Rhinolophus ferrumequinum: one gene and its partner. The protein of the gene in region 1 interacts with the protein of each later gene in a pairwise test. Links are inferred from orthologs where the notes say so. Each region holds a gene or a part of one and is shown on either strand. Other genes may lie near its edges.

The links. The genes of interacting proteins can lie anywhere in the genome.
Region 2: the proteins of CEP63 (region 1) and PCNX4 interact in a two-hybrid assay, tested with the Homo sapiens proteins (2 studies listed by BioGRID and IntAct). The link is inferred for Rhinolophus ferrumequinum from reciprocal best matches to the Homo sapiens genes CEP63 and PCNX4.

What each region holds. Positions count from the first base shown.
Region 1 is NC_046300.1:34,591,092-34,599,079, forward strand, and holds the start of CEP63 (centrosomal protein of 63 kDa), read left to right. Parts: upstream 1-4,976; 5' UTR 4,977-5,044; coding exon 5,045-5,091; intron 5,092-5,159; exon of another isoform or gene 5,160-5,396; intron 5,397-7,988. Other genes in the region: ANAPC13 (anaphase-promoting complex subunit 13), read right to left, coding at 2,245-2,343. UniProt on the Homo sapiens protein: Required for normal spindle assembly.
Region 2 is NC_046289.1:34,672,131-34,679,250, reverse strand, and holds the start of PCNX4 (pecanex-like protein 4), read left to right. Parts: upstream 1-4,104; 5' UTR 4,105-4,571; intron 4,572-7,120.

The DNA.
Region 1 (7,988 bases):
GCCATGGGCCACTTCTTGGCCTAAGCTCCGTGAACTGTGCGGTTTCCGCTCAGGCTGCTCTTAGAGCCCTGAGATGGCCATGTGAAGTCTGGGCTAGTCTGCTGGATAACGAGAGACTGTGGCCTAGTCACCTTATCACCTCAACTCACAGCCTGCTGAACTGCCAGACCTGAGGAAGTGTCCTGAACTACTGAGCCTCCAGCTAGCTTGCTGCACGAATAAGTCCAGCAGGGATTAGCCAAGCTGAGGCAGACCAGAAGACCCTCTCAGCTGAGCTACAAAGTCATGAGGTAAGTAGCTATTGTTCTAAGCCACTATGTTTTAGGGTGACGAGTTAGGCAGCACCAAAAGCTAACTGATACACCAATGCCTTAGTATCCCAAGACGTGCATGAGCCACGCTACAACCTGGAAGTCAGCATGGAAATTTACCTCTCCCTCATTTCCTGCCACACGGATGATCCCCAAATCCTGCCATAAGCGTGTCCAGAATTTGGCAATTCCCCTCCATTTTCTTGCCATTGTTCAGGCCCTCCTCCCTTGCCTGGGCCACTGCAATAGCTTCCTAATTGGTCCCTCTGCCCTGTCACTTGCCCCTTTCTCCATGGCAGACGTCCTCTGACAGTGCTGCTAAACTGATTTTCCAAAACCTAAATCTGAGTGTGGCAGACTTCTTTTTTGAAGACCACTCACTCCTGGATATCCCCCGGATGAGGTCTAAGCATGGTAACAAATATTCCTCTCAAAATCTGGTCCAAGCCCAACCGTTCTGCCGACCTTATACAACAAACGTATTCTCCAGGCACATTCAATACCTCACTCTCTATTAGCCTTTCAGAACTCTGAGCCTCTGCACATCTGCCCCCGCTGCTGGCGTGCCCTGGTCTGTCTCCACTAAACTTCTGGTCCTCCCCTATAACCAGCTTAAACTTTACATCCTCTTGGAGGCCTTTCCTGACGCCCACCAGGCAATGAGCCACTTCCTATACTACGGTGGCTGTTCATGACCCCACTTAGAAAGAACCCTTATTATTATACAATTTCTTTATATATGTTACCTCTCTAGATCCCCAGAGGCAGAAACTGTATCTTATGTTCACATAGTTTTATGGCACACAGAAGGCTTCAAAGAAATACTGGTGGAATGAAAGAAACAAAAGTTTACAGGACAGGACCTGGAGCCTCCCAGACTCAAGTGTGAAGTCTGACTTATGAGCTACCCGACCCTGAGCAAGTTCCTCTCTTGGATCCTGTTTCCTTCCTGTAAAATGGGGATAACAGCACCACCCTTGCAAGGTTGTTTTAAGGATTAAGGAGAATGTATGTCAAATTTCAACCTCAGTCCAAGGCATAAAACTGGTATTCAATAAGTGGCAGCTATAATTCTCATTACGCTCTCTCTTTTGACTATTTTTCTAAACTTTAACTAAGCTGCCTTATTATTTGATATGTGTATTATTCATTGAACTTATTATCACATCTTATTTGTAAATAAAAATGTGGGTGAGCTGAATTTTCTTTCTCTGTAAACAGCAGCCGTAGTCTACCTGTAAGCTGTATTTTATTAAGAACTCTTTTCAGGGCAGTCAGCGTGTTCTAAAGAGAAACAGTCCCTAGGCCCTGATCTTTGTCCCTTGTTAGGCTTCTATGACATCAATAGGATATTTAACAAGCATTTATACAAGCAAAACTTTTAAGTCATTTATTACGTAAGGTTTAATAAACTCCTGGCAGGACTGTATGCCACAGATCAGGAAAGAGTATTCCAGGAGTCTGTTGGTCTACATGCAAAAGAAGAAAAGCCAAATGTCTTCTGAATATTTTCCAGGGAACTTAGGATAGGTGAGTGTTCCAAAAATGTTGAGTTTTTAAAAATGCCAACAGACTGACAAGCCATAGGTAGAGAAGACATACTGTATAGCTTATATGCCCCTGCTTCCTGTTCCTCCCACCTGATGTGTTAAACTCTTCTTATCTGATTTTTTGGCTTTGGTGTAGTCAACAGAAAATGGCTCAGAAGGCCTGGGTTCCAGACTTGGCATGACTCCTATCGGAGCTGGTCACAACAGCTCTTTGAACTATATTTATCTTCAAATAAAAAGTCTAGATGCTTCTAGAATTAGTGGACTTTACAGCTTTGATTTCTTTGCCCTACTAGTTTATCTGTCCGTTGACATCCTATCTCTACTAGGCCCCACCAGATCGTATCTTTTACCCATTATCCTCAGCACAAATTATAGCCTACCAGTGGTATCGCAACATCCTCGTAAGGCAGCTTATCTTCTCGCCAAGCATCGTCAATCAAATCCAGGATCCTTCCGTCTCTCTGTACCTCACTGTCCATTCTCCTGAAGCTTTAATCTTGTCAAATCTGTAAGCCAAAAAGGTAATTTCTTAAACAAGACTGAGGAGATGATGTAATCAGCCCTAGGATTCCCCAGGCTTTTTAGCTTGGATGTGTCTTTTGGCATAATATCACCCTGGGGAAGATCCATCTTCTCATCTGGGTCAGATGACGACTTATTTATAAGATCACAGTTCCTCCCCTCCTACCCCAGCTGACGATGGACAGACATCAGACATAGCCCAGTGGACAAACCAGTCATAGTATGACAAAAAGAGAATATATTTGAGGGCCTCCTTTACGAGGCCACAACACGTCTAGAATGCAGCTTTTCTCTCCTAACTTGCACATTCACCTTGTCCTGTTCAGGATGCCTTTGATGAATCCTTGACTCATTCATAATCAAGTCTCCTTTCTGGCCCCTCTACCCTTTCCTGCACCATTTTCACAAAAGTCTCCACCCGCCTTAGCTCTAACCTTGGCATTCTTTGGCACGGGAGCTAAATGAAGCACAGGATCATAGTGAGATCCCCACTGAACTGGGTTATACAAAGTGAACAGCCACAGACCTGCAGAAATCCTCAGCTGAACTTGTGAAGGAAATGGCCTTTCTTGAGATGGTGCCCAGGCTGAGCCCTGAAAGGAGCACCTCCAGGTGAACCACAGTGGGAAGACCCCATGCTGCTGGTTTCTTCTTCCCTTTGGGATTCCTTCCTCTGATTCTTAACGCTGTGCCCCCTTTCATGCCTGGCCCAAGTGGTCAAGATGCTTACTTAGCTCTCGGCCGACTCCCCACTTTTTTTCTTGAACACCAATAGCCAGCTTGGAAAATACCTCTAGACTCTGTTTCCAAGTGTGGACTCTGCTTCTTCATCACAGATATCACTCTCCTGTGCTCCCTGCTACAAAGCAGCCATCCTAATGGTCTGGAATTCAGTGGCACCAAAGGCACTTGAGTCACGCCCACTTCTGAGACTGTGAAGACTTATACCAGAAAATAGTCTTTGGGGGTGAAACCCAACTCTTTCGTATAGGCCTGTGCTTTTCCCCAACAAAATGACTTCAAGATAGCTCTACTACTTGGGTAATAATGATAGGCTTTTCCCCCCATGATAAGAATCCAGGCAAAACTGAAACATGCCCAGCTTCTATGCCACCAGTGAACCAGATGACGTCTTAACGTTTCACTACTAATTCTTAGTATTACGAGAATTAATCCAGTACTACTAAGTGGATAACTCACAACAAGCTGAAGAATCCTGTCTTCAGGAAATGTACACACCAGGGGTCCTTTCAGTTCCAGTTATATTTTTGGAGACCCTGTCATACACAAGCCCTCCTTTTTCTCTGCCGCCACTCCTTTGTCCTGGATGCTCTGACCTCTGGGATGCCCTCCTTCCTTTCCTCTGATCAAAACCTGCTGATTTCCCCAGGCCCACACAAGTTCCACCTTTTCTGTAGTTTTCTCAAATCACTCCAGCTTCAGCAGGCATTCTGCCCTCGAATGCTTCCTTCTTGTCCTTATGACCCACTAGTTGGGTCAGCCTTGTGACAGACTGCTCAGCTATGTCTCCAATTGTTAGGTGTCCATTTTCCATCAATGACTCCTTAATCCATTTTCCCCCAATTTGGCCTCAATCTGTTTTCACCTGTTCCTCTTCCAAACATCTCTAGCCCTATCATACTTGCCACCCTTTGCACTTAAAAAAAAGCCTCTTTCCCCCGTGTACTTTTCCTTCCAAACTCAACGTGGGCGTCACATCATCAGGGTCAACTCCCCATTTCCCGAGTGGTGTCTTCACTCGTAAGGGGCTGGAAGAGTGGAAAGCATCAAGAGAGGCAAAGTCCAGGACACGGCCACTGTCACAAGCATTTGCTACACTCGACAGCATTCACCACTATCAGTTTCGTGAACAAACTTTTCTTACACGTGTGATGGCCCCAATGCCTGGAATGCTCTTTCCCCTTTATGTCCCAGATAATCCCTGTCGGTCTGAAAAACTTGGTTCCCGGGTCACCTCCTCCTATAGGAGGCTATTCAGGTCCCCTAGTTCCCTGGGAATAGCGAATGATCCCGACTGGGAGCTTGTCACACTGGCTGTTTCTTGCTTTCCAGACAGGCGGCGCGTGCGTTCCTTGGGGCAGGGGCACGTTTTATTCCTCTGTGCTTCAGAATTTTGTAAATACACAACTACATGATCAACGCAGACGGCTTCCCCCCCCCTTTGGCTAAAAATGACCCTCGCAGGCCACCACCATCCGTACAGGAGTGTGAGCCCGCCTCACAGCCCCGACTTCCGGCTCGAGGCTGGATATACCAAGTGTGGAAGCGGGGGAGGTCTAGGTCCAGGCCCGCCACCCAAGTTTCTTTCCACTCGATCCAGTGAGCGGTAAGGGCAGTGATGGGGCTGAAATGAAGACATCGGCCTCGGTCGCAGGCAGTGCGACGCTGAGGAACGAACGCGTTCTCGCCCTGCAGAACCTAGGCTAGGGGCGCGGGAAACCCTTACCAGCACCCGACCCAGCGCAGCACCCGCGGCCACCGGAGCCCACCCTCGGCACCACGTGACCCGCACTTCTTTTTGCTCCGATCCCCGGATGTGGGTGAGCCCATTTGCTTGGGCGGAGGGGAGGTGAGGCAGGACGTTTGTTGCCATTAAAAGGGAGGGAGCAGGGGGCGGAACGAACGTGTCGACGACAGATGCTGGACGTCAGGTTGACGGTGACGCGCGCGCGCCCCCGCCGGAGGTAACGGCGGGAAAGCTCGGGGGCGCGCGCGCGCGGGAGCGCCCTAACCTCATGTGCGCACGGAGGACGGGCGAGGGGCGGGCCTGTACTATTCCTGGGGCAGGCTTGGCCGCGGCGGCTGTGGTGCTGTCCGCCGCGCGGCCCAAAGGCTCGGGGCTGGCTTCCGCAGCAGCCCGCCAGCCGCCAGGCCCGCCCCCGCCGGCCCAGGCCAGCTCCGGCGCCCCGCCCTTCGGCCTCGTCGCCCACACCCTGCGGGCCCGCGAAGGCGGATATGGCCTTCCCGGGCGTGCCGTCGGGCCAGCCAGGTGGTCAGCCCTTCCCTGCGGCCGGGCCAGCGGGAGGGCGGCGGGTGGCCAGTTTTCTCTTCGGGGGAGGGACCTCCGGCTCAGCCCTCCCGCTCAGCCTGTCGTTTCTGGTTAACTTGCTACCGTAGCTTTGTTGTGACTTAAGCCATCCACGGCGGGTGATGCCCGTTCATTTATGGTGGGAAGTTTAGCAGTTTAAACAGTGAGTTGGCTTAAAAACAACGTTGACACAGGAGAAATGGAAATGTGGCAGAAATCGTGAAGGATTGAAGTTGGGGCACCTCTGCCTTACAGATTGCTCCATAGAAATCAGGGATCGGAAACAAGTGGTAGAGCCATGGTTTAAAAAGTGACAGTTCCTTACGAACACTAACCATGAAGATATTTGAAGACAGTATAGATAGGCTCATAATATGGTTTTTCTTATGTCCCCTTACAACGTCGGAGAGTGAAGATGAGTGTGCTGTCAGTGACTAGTCTTCATTTATAGTTACAGTACGTTTATTTGCACAGAGTAGTCTTTCTTGAGCCTTACATTTGATTCCTTAAACCTTAAGTCTTAAAAAAATTATTCTTTTAATAAAGCAGTATTGTGGGGTAGGTATCCTGTAGTTACACAGTTCTCCACATGCTTGCTTTTTATTTTATAGATAGGAGGAAATCATACAAGGATCAACAACACATTACTTTCAGGTGTTTCCATTTAGAGTCATCATAGTTGTAACTTAATGATAAAATGAAGTGTATTATTTTCTTACTTGGAATGCGGTATCATCTTTAAATTGACTTTTGTCCTGAGCTGCTTGTCCTTTCACGATATCATTATCAATGATCAATATAGTACGACTGAAAGTTAAATGTGTTAAGAGATTTATAAACATTCAGAGAGTTACACTGTCCTTTAAAATGTATGTAGAGTTAGCTTTTAAAAATTATTTGTAATAATTATGTATGTTAATTGTATCGATACACCATTTACCTCCCATTAAAAGGTAGAAGACCTTTGCTTGGTCCTTCCTGTTCTCATTTATGTAGTAGAGGTGGCACATGTTGACTGCATCAGCAGTCCACTATCAGAGCTTCCTATTTTTTAAAAAAATGTCAGCTTGGTTTGAAAGTTGAAGCCAACATTTACATAGGTTTCAGAAACTGAATTTTTGATTTTTATGTTTAGTTAGGGTTGTTTTTTCTCTACGAGGTAAGTTTGTTTTTTTTCACCTCTACAAAACCACAGTACTGCCATCCACCTATGAAAATTAATAAATATTCCATAATGTCAGTATTCAGCCTGGGTTCAGACTTCCCCGCTGTCCCTTAATGTCTTTTTACAATTAGCTTCTTGGATAAAAATCCTGTTCAGATTCATGTATTGCATTTGGTTAATGCACCTTTTAAATCTTTTGAGATATAGTAGTTCCCTTGCCTGCCTTTCCCCCCTCAGCATTCTACATTTAGCTGATTTTATCCCTATGGTATTCTTCCCCATGTGTATCTATTTCCTTTAAACCAGTAGTTAGATCTAGAATTGCACTATCCATTATAGCAGCCACCAGCCAGCTGTGGCTATTGAAATGAATTAAAATGAAAGAAAACAAAAAATTCAGTTCTTTAGTCGCATTGGCCGTGTTTCAAATGCCAAATAGTCACAGGTACCTCGTAGCTACCGTTCGGTGTAGATATAAAACATTTCCATAACTGCAGAAAATTCTGTTGAACAGCACTGATCTAGAAGCTTGATCAGATTCAATGTTGATTTTTTTTTTTTTGGTGGAGGTGGGCAAGAATATTTCCCAGATGGTGCAGTACACTTCCTGTTGCATTGATTATCAGAGAGGCACACAATGTATGAATTGTTCCTCTTTTTGTGATATGAAGATTGAGCAGTGTACTGATCCATCCATCATGAATTTCCCCTTGAGCATTGCACTTAATGGTGAAATCTTTTCATGGATTTAGATTGCCTATATCTATTGTTCCTTTAGGGGTTGCAATATGGTGATTTTCTAATTTCGTCATTCCTTTAGTATTTATTAGCTGGAAATCTTTCAGGAAGAGCTTCCTCCCACCAGCTACTTGACTGTCATCAGCTATTTGAAATACTGGAGGGCAAGAAAAATGCTTAATTCTTTCCCTCTATTTTCAGACTGCGGTAATGAGTTGGTGGCCTAACAACCTCCAAAGGTAACCGTGAGGTTTTTGCCTTTTTTAAAAACCAAAACGGTTTTTGCCTTTTTAAAAAAATCATCATGAACTTATAAGCTTGAAAATATTGAAACTGTTTCCACCTATTGCAGTTTTTTTTTTTTTTTTTTGATTCTCGAATTGTCCTGTCTTTGGCCAGTGGCAGCAGCCCCTTTAAGTTGACTCCTGTCCACTTTGATATGACAAGTAGTCTTTGATAATGTCTTCATTTGCTGATTAAACATGTTCCTGCCTCATTTATACATTTCTGGCCAACAACCCTGGTTCCTTTGAGTTGGAGATGGTATTTAGAGACCACAGCCTGAGAACTGTGCTCTTACTGCTAGGTTGGGCATTAGTTGTAGGATTTACAGTGATCAGAGTTAGGAAATACATTTTCTAAGAGAGAAA
Region 2 (7,120 bases), on another chromosome or scaffold:
CCGAAACTAATAATATTGTATGCCAACTATACTTCAATAAAAAAACCAAAATGTTTCCAGTGGTGATAACTTTCTAAAATAATAATTGAAACACTCCTAAAGTTAAAAATCTAATCTGTGAAGTTATTGATGTGAAACAATAATAAAATTTTTTAATAGCTATGGAAGAAAATTCAAAATGCTTGATCAAAACCAAAATCTGAGAAATTCTATCCTTTTACCCTACACTCATCAGGAATTACTGTAAATTTTTCAGAATTATAATTGAAAATATATTGTATTTTACAACAAATTGTATTTAATTGTATCTAAAACCAAATTAACGGCAAAGCTATGATTACATTATACACTATTTGATGGTTCTGTGTATGAATGTTTACCTGGTCTGCAATTTTTTTCTATATTAAAGCAGTTTCAGTATGAAACTTAGTGATTAACAATTGGTCACTCCCTTTCATATAAGATCTTTCATATCCTCATAATTCAATGTCACCCAACCCACATCCCTGTGAACATGTTGGGACATACTAAAATTTCTACCCACCACATGCCCATTCATTTATATGCATATCAGTATCTGTGGTATAAAGCAATGAGATTAATTTCAACAAGCCATGTAAGAAGTCGATTATTTTATTTTACAATGCCTTTATTCTCTCTTGATTATTTTTTTCATGCCTACTAATATCCAAAACTTGGTATTCTCTTCCAATCTTATGATTTCAACTTTTTTTTTAATGTAAAATACTCGCAAATGTCTATGCCTTGACCTCTCCCCCAAGGTCCAATCCTTTATTTCTAACTGGACATAACCCACAAGTAACACATAATGTCTCGAAGCAGATTATCTTTCTTCCCAAAACTAGTCTTCCTCCTGTGCTTGCTTATTTTAGGGTACCTCAAACTTAGTGGTTACCCAGCTTGAAGGTTGGGCTCATCTTTTTTCTTTAGTCTCCTTACCACCATATCCCACTTTCACCCCAATCCAGTCCTTTACCAAATTTTAGCAATCTACTGCCTTGCCCTGGAAATTCAGCTTCCTAATTCCCTGAGGCCATTTCACGCCTTCTTTAACTCATCAGATTCTGTGCTGCAGCTCCGCATGGTTATTTACAGAGCCCTCTGGTAAATAGTCTGTGGGCAAGGGAGCAGAGTGAGGATTTTACAGTTGTTGCTATTGTTGTTGTTTTACTTTCTGGTGAGAGGAGTAACTTGGGTATGAATTGAAAATGGGCATTACCATTACACAAAAACATGTATGCCTTTAATATACCTGGATAAACATTTTCTCTGACTGAAGCAGCAGCTCCAGATTTTGGGGAGAGTTTCGTTTTATGTGAATCAGCAGGGTGACAAAAAATTATGGATTTTGGAGATGTACAGATGTACTCAATTCCAGATCTTATCATTTTACTTTTCTAAAACTCAGACTCCTTATATTTGAAATGAGAACAATAATGACCTACTTCATAAGGTTAAGATTAAATAAGGTATATACGTATCTTACTCTATAAATGCCCTAAATATTTGTTAAATGTATGAATGTACCCCTACCTGGAACACCTCCTCTCCTACATCTTTATCCAGCTAACCTCTACTTGTCTTTTAAAATTCAATTACAGTCATCTGAATTTTCCAAAAATGATTTATGGGTCCCACTTCTGTGTTTCTAAGCTCCAGTACATATCTGTTTATCACACACTCTAACTACTGATGTCCTTGTTGGTCTCCCAAGTGATATTTTGGTAAATTCCTTGAGGATAGGGATCATACTTTATTTGACTTTGTATCTACAGCAATTAGTGTGGTGCTTGGCAAATAGCATCCACTATATTTCAATAAATGTTGAATGAATACTTTATACACAAAGTAACCAAAAGCATTGTACCATAAGCTTTACTAATTTTATTCTAAGATAGTGCAAAGTACAAACATATTGGGAAAAAAGAGAAATTTAACTACCAAATATCTACAGCAGGTATTTCAACAACAAAAATGTTCATTCTGGTTGGGTCATGTGTAATTCAAGGTGATGCACACAGGCATCATATATATACACAGCTCTCTACATAAGGATAATATCTCATACTCACTAACCATTTAAGCTGTGCCAGTTAGGTCCCTTACTAAGCCGTTTAGTTATTTGATTTAATCCTATTTACCTTAACTCCCTCTGGGTTAAGTTCTGTCTCCATTGTTAGGCCCTGCCCCCCCCCCCCTTTTCTTTTACAAGATATGGAAAGTGAGCAACAGAAAGATTAGGTAGCTGAAAGATGACACAAGTAGTGAGCGGTGGTATCAGGGTTCCAACTCAGGCTTCCTGACTCCAGAGCTTCTACTCTTAACCACACTACACTGACTTCCTACAAGTAGCTGATTTTTCAGAGATGTTTAGTGTGATACTCTGACCCAGGATGACTGGGGATATGTCTCTCCCAAGAGTAGACAATATTGTGGATGGACCAAGAGCACATTTTCCCTTCATATCGAACTATAAAAGGTTCTATCTCTAAATTGTGCCCCTGACAAGTCTATGTACATCACTGACACTGCATGTGGGTTTTCTTCCACTTTTTCAATAAACTACATTTTTCCTCTGGCTAGAGTTGGATCTTCTTTTTTATAAGCCTTGGGTTTCTTTTAATATTAAAACAAAAGTTTTTCCAATTATGGTTTGAAAACCTAAAAGCTTAAAAGAACTAAGCCATCATTTCCAGTAAAGCCAGGAAAAAAAAAAAAAAGACCACATGTATAACTTTGAGATAAGGAAATCCAAAGCCATTCAGAAGTCCCAAGTATGCAGAATTGCTAAGGTATCAATCGCAAGGGGAAACCGCGGGTACCTTGATACTGACACATTGGCTTCAAAGATCCCTTACAGGAGCCTCTAAATCAGGGGTGTCCAAACTTTTTTCAACTTTTTTCACCAAGGGCCATATGCGATATAATATACAAACAGCCGGGCCACTCACTCAAGGTGAAGTATGTATTGCCTCACCTGGTTTATTTAAGTAAACTAAATATATTTTTGGAATTTGCTGCAGGCCAATTAAAAATGGATCATGAGATGATGTAATTAATACAGAATTGTACACCTGAAATCTATGTAATTTTACTAATAATTGTCACCCCAATAAATTTAAAGAAAAAATGGATCACGGTTGGCCCACGGGTGCAGTATGGACACCCCCGCTCTAAATCATTTGAGACCAATTTAAAACTCTCAGGCGATAGGTGCTTGAGGATTACTGGTAGACTTCCAACCAGAAGATGTCCAGAATAAGGGTAGAAATGAAATCACGGAAAATGGAGGTTGTAGGAGGAACAGGGCATATGGATAACTTTTAAACTAGCAAAACTGGAGACTTCGTGGACACCCTGTAAAGATTCCTGGATCTGAAATTGATGCTAAGTAATAACAGTTCGCCACTTTTTTTTCCCCCCAATTGGAACATGGGAACTTCACCTTATTTTATTAATGAACAGACACTTTAGTAACATGTTTCATTGATGGACAGTTTGGTTCTTTGTATTTAAGTATGCAGTCACAATCCACTCATGGGGGGGGGGGGATGCAATAATGGGACTTTAGCACGCACTTACCCGTGTTTCCAGGAAAATAAGACCTAGCCAGCCAACCAGCACTAATGTATGTTTTGGAAAAAAAATTAATGTATGACCCAGTCTTATATGTTATATAAGACATGGTCTAATAGAAAAATAAGACCAGGTCTTATATTAATTTTTGCTTATAAGACGTATTAGAGGTGATTGTCCAGCTAGGTCTTATTTTCAGGGAAACATGGTAAATGCAATTCCAAATCTTCCAAGCTGAATAGGATGTATGAAGTATCACTCAAAGATATTTATTACCCTCGGTATGTTGGGTGGTGACGGCCACAGAGCGGGTGTGGTTAATTAATGAGGGTCGCAGGACCCTGAGTGGTTGGAGATGCACACTCCGCAGTCAGACCACCCAAGGCCTGCTACTCGCAAAATGGCGACCGCAGCGCCGTCTATCTGCGCGAGAGCACCACCCTGCGGAGGAACGTCACGTCACCAAGGCAACGACGCTCCTGCGTAAGGGTGCGGCCCGGGTGAAAGTTCAGGATTAGGTGTCGGGACCCCTTGTCGCTGCTGCAGCGTCTGGGCCCAAGGTGGAGCCAGGGCGTGAGCGACTCCCACGGCCCTCCGCGAGGCAAGTGTTGGCCCAGGCCTGGAGAGGACGAAGCGCAGCTCTTCTCCCGATCCGCCCCGCCTGGCCGGCGGGAAGGGAGGCACCCAGAAGCCAGCGGAGGCCGGGGGTGTGGCGAGTCCGGCGCCCGGCCCGCCCCCGAGCGCGCGCTTAGTTCCGCGCCGGGTGGCGGCTGCCAGAGTTGACGTTAGCTATGGAAACGCGGAAAGTGCCTGGGCACGATCGAGCTGAGCCGGTTGCCAGGCCGCCACAGCTTCTCTGCCTCCGTGCCCGGATCGCAGGCAGCCTCCCTGCGGGAGCGCCCAACCCGGGATTACCTGCAAAAATGCAGTTCCCGGGATGCCTTCGTATTGCCTCTTCCCTCGGGTGACTAGAGGTACGTTTGATCCCCGGCACTCACATGGGGACTTCTTGGTCGCTTTAATTTCCAAGGCTGCTCAGCCACGTTGCTCTTGCAGTTTTAATTGCGACAGATTTATCGTTCTTTGTTATAAAACCTTTATGTGCATTTATTGCACATTTTAAGACGTAAGATGACCTCAAGTCGCCAGAGGCATCAATCCGGTGTGATTTTAACTTTCTTAGGAAAGACTATTTTAGCCTGTTGACTTACAGTATTTTGTTTCTAAGACACACTTGTGAAATGGAAAATGTTATTTTTGAGCCTTGATTTAGGGGTGGCCTTTATCCCAATAAAGTTCACATACTATGTATGCCCTTAGTACAGGACTTTTTCTCTCCTTATCTCTAACTAAACCACATTTGCCCCAAATCCATCAACTCATGGCACCGTGGACATGAATTACTCTTTACCCACTGATCTGCTCCCTCTCACCACAAGTCTGTCCAGGATGAGCGTTTACTTCCATGAAGTCTGCTCCGTCAGAAGTTATTTATCAGACCTCTGAATTATCTGCTCAATTATTATTTTTTCTCTTATTCTGCTGTATATTATTAGGTGTTTTTTTGTTTGTTGTTTGTTTTTGGTTAACTCATTCCTGCAGTTAGAGCAAAGACCATCCTTTATATATCATTCCGTGTCCTCTGCCAACCATACTAAATCCCCAAATCTTTATGATAGCATCCAGAGCCAGATTCAAGGTTCAGATATTGCCATTTCAGTAATTTACATTTTGGGGGTACACATTAGCTACTCTTAAATTTCCTACTTAAAAAGCTGCCTACTAGTTATTAACTGCCACAGAAAATACCAGGTCGGGACCTTTTTTGTTTTATAGTACTAATATAAGATAATATTGAATGTCAACTGTAATTGAAAAATTAAAAATAAAAAAAATTATTGAGATATGATTCACATTTCATACAATTCACCCATCAAAAGTGTACAATTCAGGGAGTTTTAGTATAGTCACGGAACTGTGCAGTCAAATTTAGAACATTTTCATCACCCCAGAAAGAAGCCCTGTACCTTTAAACAATCACTCTCCCTTGCTCTCCCATTCTCATTATCCCCTCCAGCCATAAGCAAACACAAATCTACTTTTTGCCTTTATAGATTCGCTTTTTGGACATTTTGTATAAATGGAATCATACAATATGTGGCCTTTGTGATTGGCTTCGTCCACTTAGAATTCTGTTTTCAAGGTTCATCCCATGTCACATGTATCAGTACTTCACTCTTGTTTATAGCCTAATGATCTTCTATTGTACGGATATGCCATATTTTATTTCATTCTTTGCTGGACATTTGGGTTGTTTCTGTTTTTTAGCTATTAATAATATTTCTGCCATGACGGTTCATGTACAAATTTTTGTATAGACTTTTATGTTTTCATTTCTCTTGGGTAAATACCTAGGAATGGAATTGGTAAGTCATATGGTCACTATGTTTAGCCTCTTGAGGAACTGCCAGACTGTTTTCCAAAGCAGCTGCACCATTTTACATTACCACTTGAGGGTTCTAATTTCTCCACAACCTCACTAATACTTTTTATTGTCTATTTGATAGCCAGTCAAGTGGATTAAAGTGGGATCTCCTTGTGGTTTTGATTTGCATTTCCCTAATGAGTAATGACATTGAGCACCATCTCATGGGGCTTATTGGCATATGTATATTATCTTTGGAAAAATGTCTATTCAGATCCTTTGCCCAGTTTTAAGTTGAGTTACTTGTTTTTTCATTATTGAGTTGTAAGAGTTTTTATATATTCCAGATAAAAGTCCCATATATATATAAATTGCAAAAATTTTCTCCCATTCTGTGGGTTGCTTTTCACTTTTTTGACAGTGAGAACCTTTTCTTTTAGACACTTTCCCACTTGTGTTTATGTCTTACCAAGGAGTCCTATGTGACAGTGCCTTCTTACTGGCTTAGCTAACAAAAGTTGCCCATTTTGACAATCTGTAGTTTTCTCTCAGGCCCACCTTTCCCTGAAAACGCTTTCTCTTAGCCTTCTGTTTCTCTATCCTCAAAATAAAATTCCCTTTCATTTAGCAATAGCTTGGTGTGATTGAAAAACTCAGTCTGCTACCAACTGACATTGTATATTGGTTAAATCACTTAATATTACCGGTTCTCCATTTTCTTTTCTGTAAAATAAATGGATTTATTTCTGGTAATTCATATGAGTGGTATATAGTTTATTCACCTAATACTTGATTTTGAAAGAAAAGCATGTTAACCTACTTGAATTTATAATGGGTAAGATGTTTGAGGTATGAGAAGAGTAGATTGAGGTAGGAATAGAAGTATTGGCTGGCCCTGCTGTACATTTATCATGCTCTGATGTGAACTTTGGCTATTTCCTACCATCTTAGTTTTCCATAAGTAATGGAATGCTATCAGTTCATATTCTAGTGTTGTACATTTCCAAAGGGTGAATCCTAGAGCCAACTCATCATTCCACCTCTGAAGCATTGACAATACCTGCAATAAATAGACCCTTTGAGATGTCTAGCACCCTT